Linked DNA regions of Caenorhabditis elegans. The protein of the gene in region 2 interacts with the protein of the main gene of each other region in a biochemical or structural test. Each region holds a gene or a part of one and is shown on either strand. Other genes may lie near its edges.

Region 1 (3,755 bases), on a different chromosome or scaffold from region 2:
TTTTTTTGAAATATTGAAATGCACACAAGAATGGGAAATCAGAAGCGTGGGGTGGTTTCCGACTGATGATTGAAGTTTTTGATGGATAAAAATGAAAGAGATGGAAGATTTGGTGTAATAACTGGAACACTACCACTGAAGAGAAAGAGAAATAAAGAAAAAATGAAGATGAAAACACTCATTTCGTTTTCTAGAAAACATAAAAGCGGCGTTATTAATTACTCGAAATTTTGAACTTTTCTATGATTAAGAACATTTTTCAATTGTTAAATAATAGAAGATAGTCTAAAATTATCGAATATGCCTATAAAGTGTTTAAAATTTTGTCTTTTTTTTTGCAAAACTTTCAAATTTTCGCACAAACTGGTTACTGTAACAAGACCAAATTTCCTTTTTTTCTTTAGCTTTTTCTTGTGGAAATTTTCAAAAAAAAATTTTTAACATGTCTTTATATTAAATTTTTCTGGAATTTCAAAAATTTGTCGCTTAAAATAAACAAAACAATTTTTTAAAATTTTTTCAGTCTATTTTGTTATAGGAAAGTGTGAAAAGCATACAGAAATTCCAGGAAATTTTTTTTACAAATAATGTTATTTAAAAAAATTTATTGAGTTACAGTAACCGTTTTTGGTGGCAATTTAACAAATAATTCAGAAATTTGAAAAAAAATTTGCAAAATTGAAGGAAAACTCCCGAAAAAAGATAAATTTTTGTAGTCAAATTGGATCATTTCAGACTACATCCATTTTCTCTTCAGAAATTGAAAATTCATTTTTTTAATTAAATTTTTTTTAGTGAACTCTTGGAGCATTCTACATAACTTAAATAACCCCAAATTTTTAAAAGAATTTTGATAATTTTAAAATGAAAAATCACATACCAATCTCTCTGGGTGGAGTCACACAACAGAAAAGTGTCTGAAAACAGCGTGCCCATCTTGGTTTCCTTCTCGCTGTTGATCGCTTTTTCTCGATTGATGCTGAAACTGATACAAAATATTAATTACAAAAAAAAAAACAATTCAGTTTATTTTTAAATTAACTTTTCACATTCCCGGTTATCTCACCATTGGCTGAAAATGAATTTAACGGTGTACTAGCCGTATCATCATCTTTTCTTGATGTTCCACCCCAAACTACATTTTTTGGGTTTTCTCCTCCACCATCTCGATTCATTTTCCCTCCATTTTTCTCATCTTTTGTAAGTTTTGCACGTGGCATTGCGGGAATATTACGGTAGATTCCAACTGGAGGACTCATCACAGATTCTGGTGTATTCTGTGGAAATGGTGGATATCTAAGACCATTTTGTGGTGATGATGTCGATGGTGTGAATCCATTTATTGTTGACCTTCCCACAGGATTTGGTTTTACAGGTTTCATTTTCCTCTGTGGTGGTGGAAATTGAATATTATGACGACTGTAGTAACACGTTATTCCAGACTTTTCATCTTCCGATTTACTCCAATAGTCCAAACTGTTGGCACCGTTTTTTGGTTGAAGTGGTTGCGATGCGGATCCTTTCCGCACGCCATCTTTCAACATCGGCGGACCAACTGGAGTACGTGGTGGAGGCACAATCGACGAGTAGACGACGGCGGATCGAGTCGATTCAGCGTAGGTCATCCGATGATTATGATGACTGGGGAAGAAGGTGGATGATGGAGGATCGACGAGATATTTCTTGAAATAAGGAAATGGGGTTTTGGAATATGATAAGTTTGATGTTCGAAGAGAAATAGAGATTAATAAGAAAATTGAAGAAGTAGAATATTTGAAACATTACGAAGTGGGCGGAAATCGTTTTTTTTAAATCAATTCGATAATCGACAATTCGAATTTTTTAGAAAAATGATTCAAAAAAATTAATGATCAAAACTTATTAAAAATATGAGGATTTTGATCTCTGGTAATCGGAACTTTTTTCCGATAACTATTGTCAAATTTCAAATTTTCAAAATTTTATTCATTTCCGAATAATAGAATTGCCGCCCAAACTCTAGACATATTGAGAGAAAGAAAAAATAATAAAAATATGAGGAAACAATTTTGTTATTGTTGAAAAGTCCATGGCAAGAATTTATGGGGAAGTGGTTGGCTAATAAAAAAAACAGACAGGTGTGTGTTTTGATGGGAGAGTCTCTGGAGAGAACTAAATCTGTTTTCTTGTCTCACATAAGATACATAGAATGTTTGTTCGTTTCAACGCATAAACGGGGCAAAACCCAAACATATCTAATTTCAATGGTTTTAGAAACATTGACATTCAAGGGGTTTCAGAGGTGAAAAGAGCAGAGAACAAAGAAGAAGAAAAAGAAGAACTAGCTTCTTCAGAAACACAAATTATCTGAGGTATCCCGAGGGCAGAGGTGAAGTGCTTGTTGAAATGAGCACGCAAACTACTCTCTTTCTGTTTCTCTTTTCTCGTATCTTTCCCCTAAATCATCTGCTGCTCCCAGAGCACAGTCTGGTTATTGCAAAGAACGCGGCGCCTTCCGTGCGCGCTGCTGCCAAAATGTGCAAAAGAAGTGCTTGACAAAGAACAAATAAGCATTGCCGTATGCCGTATGCCGCGTGAGGGTAAAGGCGCGACGTGTGTGTATATACCATAAGTAATATAAACTTGCTGCTCACTTCAACGAGTACTTGCTCACCGATTAGTGGCGGATCATGAAGGGCGCGGAAGTCGGCGGCAGGTCTCACATGTTGGCAATGTGCCAATCACGTTGAGCTTTTGAAAAGCAACGCCCAGAGAGCTCAAAAGAGCTGCTACTGAACATAAAAATAGATTCGGGTGCATGAGGTGGACGTCAATCATCATAATAAGAGTTTATATACACGCTTTTAGAAAGAAATAAGGACCACGATGAAAGGAAATGTCGTGGAGCAAAAGAAAGGAGCAGGCGTCACTCAACAAGGTCGCTCTCACGGCGACTTTCTTCACGCTTCAAATGGCTTTTCCTTTGATGGACTCGATTCATGATGGAGCAGGAAATGGGAAAATAAATATTTAGAGAGGTCAAGGGTCTCCAGAAAAATATTCAAAAATACCTTATGGTCTAAAAAGCTATGCCATTGTTTTTCACAAGAATTACATCGCTTCTCTCGGTTACCAAGGAAACCTTTTGAAACGGATTAACGGTAATAGAATTCAGAATATTGTGCCTCGTGTGTACTTTAAAATTAGATATTTAAATATTTTTCCATATTCTATTTCCCTTCGAAAAACATCCAAAATCTGCTCAGAAACGTCTTAAAAGAAATTCAAAAAGCAATAAAACTCACAAGATTTGTTGTTTTGAACGTGTCTGGTGGCCGCCGCAAAACAACAAACACTTTTTATTCCAAAAAAAGAAAGAAACTCTAGTGAATGTATAAGAAATTGGGCGAAAAAATGAAAGAACTTTCATGCTCGACAATGTAATTTCCCTAATTGCTGTATGTTCGGCGGGAAGGCACAGAAAACAATTTATCGGCTGATGATGTTTGACTACGGAAATTGGAGGGAAGCGACAAAAATAAATATCATGGATCAGATTTATTTAGCCTGGCTCAGCAATAATAATAATAATAATAATAATGGAATAACTGAAAAACAACTGAATATTAAATATTTGATGACGACCGGTCTAGGAATTAGCCATATGATTTTGATGAAACTTAAAAACTCTAAAATACATAGGCACGAACAATTATGAGATTTCTTTTCTTTTTTTTTCGAAAAAAAAATAAACGTTTCTTTCTGATGGATTAGTC
Region 2 (3,755 bases):
AATAGCCTAAAACTTACTGAATCTGTGCTGCTCCACTATGGCTCTCGTAGGAGATGTGAGAAGCTGGTGCAAAGTGATCATAGGCTTTTTGAGACGAATCCAAGTCTGTCGAATCACCTCCAACTTCATGATCCAAAAGCTTCTTCAGACGGTCAGCTTCGAGAAGGGCCTTCTCCTTTTCCCAGTCCTGAAGGGCTCGCTCGTCTCTGGAAATTGAATTTGCTCTTTGTAAATTGAAAACCCAAACTAAGATTAAAAAAAACTCACTGCTCACTGAGCCGCTTCTCCCTTCCCAGCTTCTTTGTTACTGGTTGGAATGCTCCTGAAGCTTGTTGCTCAGCGATCAGAGCTCCAGCCCCGGGAGACAGCTGAGAAATGTCCACGAACTGCTGCTGGTTGTAACGGGCTTGAGATGCTGGGGACAGTTGGGAGAAATCAAAGTATGGTTGCTGTGGATGTGTCTGGATTTGCAGTGGTGATGGTTGCTGGATTGGCTGGAAGACTCCCTGCTGTTGCAGTTGCTGATGAGCTAACTGAGCATGTTGAAGCTGTTGAAGTTGAGCTGGGGTCTTCTGTCCAAGCTGTCCAAGTTGCTCGGAGATCTGATTCATCCGCTGATGAGCTGGAGCATCGTAGATATCAAACTCGTGAAGCAGCTGCTGGTCAGTCGGAGATATCGGAACCGGTTGAACGATTTTGTGTTGGGGTACCGGAGGTGGTTGGTGTTGCTGAGCATAATATTGCTCGGCAGCTGTTTTGAGATGAGGTGGAACATGCTCAAAGTCGTGCCCGAATGCGGATTCTTCCGGTGCAATAGATGGAATTTGCTCGAATTGGGTGGAATCGCGGGATGTTGGAGACAGGTCCATGTTCTTTGTCTCGTGGAGGTGATTGTTGACGGAAGAGAGCACGGTGTCGAACTTCTCTCTGGTGGCGTCGATGGGGTGGCTGAAAATCTGAGATTTTTGACATGCCTATGTGATACCTATTTCGGGCTTTCCACACTTCTGCGTTGCAGCTATGCCTACTCCATACCTGCCTGCCTACGTGCCATTTTCATGCATGCCTCCCTATGTGCAACGTGCCTATACCTGACCCAGGTGTCTCTGCCTACGTGCATTTCTAATGAATATACGTGCCTATCATATTCCTGCTTGCCAACATGTCTAACTACGTGCCTACGCTTGACTTATGTTTGCCTGCCTAGTTCATGCCTACCTAACTACTTCAGGCCTGCCTATTCCATACCTGCTCCCTAATGCCGAAAATGTGATTCTTGTTCTCACACTTACCCTAAATTCAAATCCACCTCCAAGCTCGGGAACTTATTTGCAGCCTGCTCAGCGAACTGATGGACGTTATTTTGAACTGAGTGAGCTTGTTCTTTCAGATATTGGTCGGCTTCACGCATCAGCTCTTCAGCGCTTTCTGGGATGTGTTGCTGCTGAAATTCCTTTTTTTTCAAGATCTATTCTCAACACCTACCACTTGTTCTTTCACATCATGAAGCTTGTCACCGGCCTTGGCCAGGACGCTTTCTACCGAAGTTTGTGGCTCTTCCTTCTCGCCTGACTCCTTCTTATTCTTGTCATCGAGAAGTTTGAAGAAGTAGTAGACGAAGGCTATGGCGGCAAACGTGAGCATGTAGCGGGTGAAGCCGGAGAACACGAGAAAATGCTCCGGCTCCGGGCATTCCTCCCACTCGTCCGGGTCGTACCCGAGACGCGCGTCGAATACCATACCGACTCGCCTGGAAATGGAGAAATTGAGCTAATGGATAAAGGTGATCAAAAATTAAAACAATACAAATTTTTGATAGTTTAGAAGCAGCTGATGGAAGTTAGATGATCAAATAGATAAAAAAGAAACTGGAGAATTTCAGAAATTTGGAAATTTTTGAAGACTTTTTAAAAATCTTAAAAGAGTACCAAAATCTGAAATGTTACTTTTTTAGACACAAAAACCCAAAACTTCCGAATTTTGTTATGAGAAGTTCTGAAACTTTCTCAAAAAAATGGTATAAAGATTCAAAATTTTGGAAAAAGCTTTTTTCAATAGGCTAGTACGCTTTTTTGTGGCCTGCCTGCCTACTTGCCTGCCTATGCCTCTTTTCTGGACATGAGCTCTAGATCAATTTGTGTCTGCCCTAAAAATAATCAGTGAAAAAATAGCGAAATTTTTGAAAATCAACTTGTTCCAATTTTTCCAATTTTAAAGCTTCCTACTTGGAGCCAATTAATACAAAAATTATGAATATTCAAACAATTTTTCAACAAAATTCCAAAAAAAAGACGAAGATCTTTTGATCATTCAAAACCTTCAAAATTTGTGCTCTTTTCTTCAGCACAAAGAACTCTTTTTGTCATTTTTTTCTGCATTTTATACTTGAAAAGCCTTGCTCAAGTTACCAGCTTCCGTCCCCTTCTACAATGTAATGCAGTTGAGGGACGGGACGGGGGACACGGAAAAAATGGCTCTCAAGTCGCGACGATGAGGCAGAAAGCTGGCGGCTCTGCGATGGCAAAACTTGTGAAGAAGAGAAGAGGCAAAACAACAGTGAAAAGCCATGAACTCTTTTGCTGTCAACCAACTCTCTGTGATTTGGGTGGAGTGGTAGTAGTTGAAAGGGATACACAAAATGAGGAAGATATTAAATGGAAAATATTGAGGGAAGAAAAAAACAACATTTGTTGAGCGCCAAAAACATGCGGAACGGCGGTGTTCCAGTAGTTGAAAAAAATAGAATATTTGCAAAAATTGTAGAAAACTTTTGGGAGTTTCCCTTGGCAGGAAAATTGGGAAAATGTTTCAGACGAAAGTCCTGAAATCTTACAAATCCCAAAAATCATTGTTATCCTAACCTAAAAGCTACCGTTCGCAATGAGAACATTGTGCCAAATTTTGATGGCAATTACGTGGGTTGTCCCATTTCGGTTTGATCTACGTAGATCTACAAAAAATGCGGGAGTTGAGACGCAGAGATCTCAACTGAGTTCGCAAGGTTCAGAACTTGCTGACGTCACATTTTTGAGCATAAAATTCCCGCATTTTTTGTAGATCAAAGCGTAATGGGAAAACCTGAAACCACATGGGCAAGGTGTATTCACAGCCCTTTTAAGAACATAGCAAAACTAATGTTGGTTTGTACTAAAAAATATTTTCTGGGACGGTTTTTTTTAATTTTTCAAATAGTTCAGAAAACTTTCTAACAGAAAAAGTTCATCATATTAAAGTTGAAATTTCAAAACAAAAAACTATTTTTCAAAAATACTTTCACATCTAGCCGAATTGATATGGGAAATGAAAATATTTCAATTTGAAAAAAATACGTGCACTATTTTAAATATAGCTAAAAATATAGTTTATAAAAATGAAAATTTTTCTCTAACAAAAGTTATTAAAAAGTTACGAAATTCGAGAGAAAGTTTTTAAAAATCTTGAGCAAAAAAATGTTGCTTTCAGAATTTTGTATACCTTCCTAGAGATCTGGACAAAACCTAGGAAAAAAAGTAAATTTTCACCGTTTCAGAAAATATCTGAAGTTATGCTTTAAACTCTTCAAACTGGAAAAATAAATTAGGAAAAATTTCCAAATTTTCGTCAATCAATTGGCATTAATCCACTTTGAAAGATTATATCTTGATTACTTTTTAGATTATCAAAAACAGCTAAACTATAAAAATATAGTTCAAGGTTTGACACGTGGTTTCAGACTGTCCCATCACAGTTTGATCTACAAAAATGCGGGAGTTTTT
Region 3 (3,755 bases), on a different chromosome or scaffold from region 2:
TCAAGAAGTCCCACTAGGAGAACTAAGAAAACTCCGTCCTGGAATTGATTATCCAAATCAGACACCTAAAAATTTACAAATATCAGCTTCTTTGTAGCACAATGAAGTGAATAAACTTACTTCCAGATTAATTTTATTCAAATGCTTATTACAAAAAGCCAACAAAGATGTCTTCACATGAGCCAACTTATCGGGTCCATAATCGAAAAGCGTATCAAATGCGTCACGAGTGCCCTTCGGTGCCAACTCAGTTTGAACTGTAGTGATTTGCTCAGTAATTCGATGGGTCTTCACTTGACCATGTTCCTTTTGAGCCACCACAACGTTAGCAACCACGTTATCTGGGAATCGAACTGGAGCACGGTAGTGAAGAGCAAGAAGCACCAGGAGCTGGATGATGGCAGTGAAGTCCTGGGAATATTCTTTTATGAGAAAATATAAAATATGGAAAGTAACTCTGTTTATTCGAAAAGTACTGTTGCGTTCAACTATCGTATATTCTCAATAAGTTTTGCATCCAAAAACCACCTCGAAAATTAGTATTGCAGTTCACGAATTTCTATATAGATTACCAGCCGTGGACCTGGGGGTGAAAACTGATTTTTTCTGAAACTACAGTATTCCTACCGTACCACTATTGTGCCAATACAGTACTTCGACTATATCCCTACACTAACCCCAACTCACTATCCCAAGAAGCCAAAACTTCACAGACTACAAAGACTACATAGACTACAAACTATGGACACACAGAATAAGCGCTTTATATATAGTAAATGATGAATAGTATTGTGTGGCGGAGGTGTCCACAGATTAACATATCATACTAATATAGAATATACGGTAGTTTTTGGAACAGCTTCGAGTGAGAAACTCTTTTGTCTACAGTGCGTCAAACATCTGCACAATGAAATGTAAGACTGATAGAAATGAACAATTCAGACAAAGATTTGCGTACCTTTTGATGAATAAGATCCGCAGACCATTTCTCTTGTTCTCTTGGCTGTCCGAGAATTCGATTGGCTGTTTGAACTACAATTTGCAGTTTTTGACGTTGTCCTTCTTCTGACTGCGAAACTTCTGGAACCTCGATCTGTAACAAAACTGTGAGTGGAGAATTTATTCAATTTGTGAAATTGTACCAATAACTTACTCGAATCTGCTCCAACTTTTCCAACAGCTTCTGGATGATTTGACCATCGAAAAGATCTTCTTGCAAGTGACGAACGACAATTCTTTGATCAGCTAGCTCTTCATTAAGCCAGTAGATCAGCAAATCGACAACTTGTGCCAACTTCTGATCGCGGGCTGTTTCCTTAGTCAGATAACGACGAATTTCTCCTGGAAAAAAATATATTGGATAAATATATTGGTGAAACCGTTTACCTTCTTCCAACCAGATGTTTCTTGCAAGAACTGGGACCAATGACTGATCGAGAGCCTCACGACCTTCAAGTTCAAGCTGAAAAATCTATATTTGCTAAAACCATTAATTTGCAAAACTAACCTCCAAAACTTCATCTTCATCAGTAGCATGATGTGCACCCCCTTGGTTTCCATGCTCATCTTCCGGCGCCTTCTTCTTTCGAGAAAGGGTACCAGAGAGTTTCTCAAAGACTCCAGGCTTTTTTGGTTCGTCACGAGATGGGGTCTTACTACGACCAAGTGTTGACATGGTTATTGCTGAAAAGTTTAAAATTATTAAGGGGTAAATATTTGTTGATTCATAATAAAAAATAAAGTACAATTAGATATTGATAAGTTAAAAAAATTTTGAAGTCTCATTATGAAACTCTGTTTTGGAACATTTCCTCTTTAAGCACTTAAATTTAAATTTGAAAAATCGATAATTCAATGTTCAAATAGCAGTAAAAATATTGTGTGGGAGGATTCTTTCCGTAGAGCAACACAAAAGTCCCCATCCAGGCCAGCAGATAGTGTAAAACAGCCGTCGTCAGTGTTGAAAAAGTGAGAGAGTGTTGGGAACAATAAGAGACGTAGAGTTGGAAGGAGAGTTTACGACAAATGAGAGATTGGGTGAAAAGAGGATGGTGCAGATAAATGGTGTGTGTGGGGGAGAGAGAAGGCTTTGGGATACATATAAATGTATGGGAATAGGAAAGAAGAACGGAAAGTTAATATTTGTATATGCATATGTATTGAGAAAGAAAAGGACGTCCATATAACAACTAATATTCAAATAAATAAAAATAAAAATAAATTAAGAAAGACAACAACTCTGCATTTACCGTATTTTCGCTATTAGTCTTGCATGCGAGACTAATTTTCAATTGGTCTTTAGGGGTGCAAGACTAATAGAGACTGAAAACTATTTTTCGAACTTTGGAAAGTGATACAATTTTGACCGTTCAAACAATGAAAAATACATACTTTCCCAATATTACATCAATTATTTGAACGATTTTACATTTGATTTACTCCAAAAATGATAAATTTGCTTACGTTTCCACAAAGTTCTGCTAATATGACAAAAAGTGGGGTGCTAGACTATTACAGGCTGTAAGACTGATTTTCAATTAGTCTGTAGGAGTGCAAGACTAATAGAGGAAATACGGTACAGTCGGTCCACAGGTCGGTCTTTTGAAAATAGTTTTTTCCATAGCAATTTTTGAAAAAATTTTGAAAAACAATTTTAGGAAAAAATTATGAAAAATCACATCAGTTACATTGATTATACGTACGGTACATTCGATTTCCTGGCGTATGATAATAGTTGCATTAAACCGAAATCAGATTAAGAAACATTGAACTAGTAATTGTAAAAATTAGCATGCAATCTAGAAAATTAGGAAATCTGAAAATTATTAAAGGTGGAGTAGGGCCAATGGAGTAAGTGTTAAAAAATACTCCTATGGTGCCAAAGTGACAAATAATCATAATAAAACTTTTCAAAACTTTTTTGAAAAATTTTTATTCACTGTCAAAAAGTGTTCAATATTCAGTTTTTGCCACTCATAATTTTGGAAGTCGACCAAAAAAAATTATTTTTCCTACATTTTTTATACTGTAATTTTGTTTCAATTATTTTTGTTGAATCATTGTAAAGACCGGAATATGCGACATTGCTTTGGATGTCCTCAAAAGCTCATATTTGTCAAAATTTTGGTAATGTGCCAAAACTTTGACCGAAATTAGGGAAAATCTAAAAATTTTTGTAGTTTTATTATGATATTCGGTCGTTTGAAATCATAATAAGCGTATTTAGACAAAATCCCCATTGACGCTACTCCACCTTTAAATTTTTGAAATTTCGTGTACTTCCTTCAAATTTGTTTAATCATCAACCCGATGCGTCTATCCTTCGTTATCAACAAATTGTAGGTGTCTGTGTCAAGAACTATTGTATCTCGTACAATCGAAAAACCAGTTCCTTCATTTTCAAAACGCTCCCTTATTTTCTTTGTTATCAACAATTCGATTTGTAAAAACGGAACCACATCGATTGTTGTCTCTTGTTATTACATCAATTCCTACACCATTTTCAGTCAAAGTGTGGATATTTTCTGAAAACTGAGCGATTTCAGCCAAATATTTGCCTGTTTTTCATTTTTCAATAAAACTTTGCCATGTTTTCAATCGTGCCCATTGATCTTTAATGAATTCTTTTTCGGGAGAATGTGTAGGTTATTTGTTAACCACCAACTCAATTTTGAACATTTTCCTGTTGACCAAACTTTTGATATTTGCCAAATCTTAGTTATGTAGGTGGGACGAAGATTCTTAAGTAAATATTG

Evidence for each region.
Region 1: the proteins of cpna-1 (region 2) and scpl-1 interact in far-western blotting, tested with the Caenorhabditis elegans proteins (one study listed by BioGRID).
Region 3: the proteins of cpna-1 (region 2) and pat-6 interact in far-western blotting, tested with the Caenorhabditis elegans proteins (one study listed by BioGRID).

The regions. Positions count from the first base shown.
Region 1 is NC_003279.8:10,092,799-10,096,553, forward strand, and holds the start of scpl-1 (CTD small phosphatase-like protein 1), read right to left. Parts: upstream 1,683-3,755; 5' UTR 1,626-1,682; coding exon 1,067-1,625; intron 980-1,066; coding exon 881-979; intron 1-880. UniProt on the Caenorhabditis elegans protein: Phosphatase which may play a role in the egg laying muscles.
Region 2 is NC_003280.10:4,184,661-4,188,415, reverse strand, and holds the start of cpna-1 (Copine family protein 1), read right to left. Parts: upstream 1,741-3,755; coding exon 1,486-1,740; intron 1,445-1,485; coding exon 1,293-1,444; intron 949-1,292; coding exon 268-948; intron 207-267; coding exon 18-206; intron 1-17. UniProt on the Caenorhabditis elegans protein: Involved in the assembly of dense bodies and M lines during body wall muscle development.
Region 3 is NC_003282.8:262,550-266,304, forward strand, and holds the start of pat-6 (Paralyzed arrest at two-fold protein 6), read right to left. Parts: upstream 1,684-3,755; 5' UTR 1,676-1,683; coding exon 1,508-1,675; intron 1,463-1,507; coding exon 1,387-1,462; intron 1,342-1,386; coding exon 1,154-1,341; intron 1,094-1,153; coding exon 959-1,093; intron 412-958; coding exon 121-411; intron 66-120; coding exon 1-65. UniProt on the Caenorhabditis elegans protein: Involved in the regulation of cell adhesion and cytoskeleton organization. Component of an integrin containing attachment complex, which is required for muscle development and maintenance.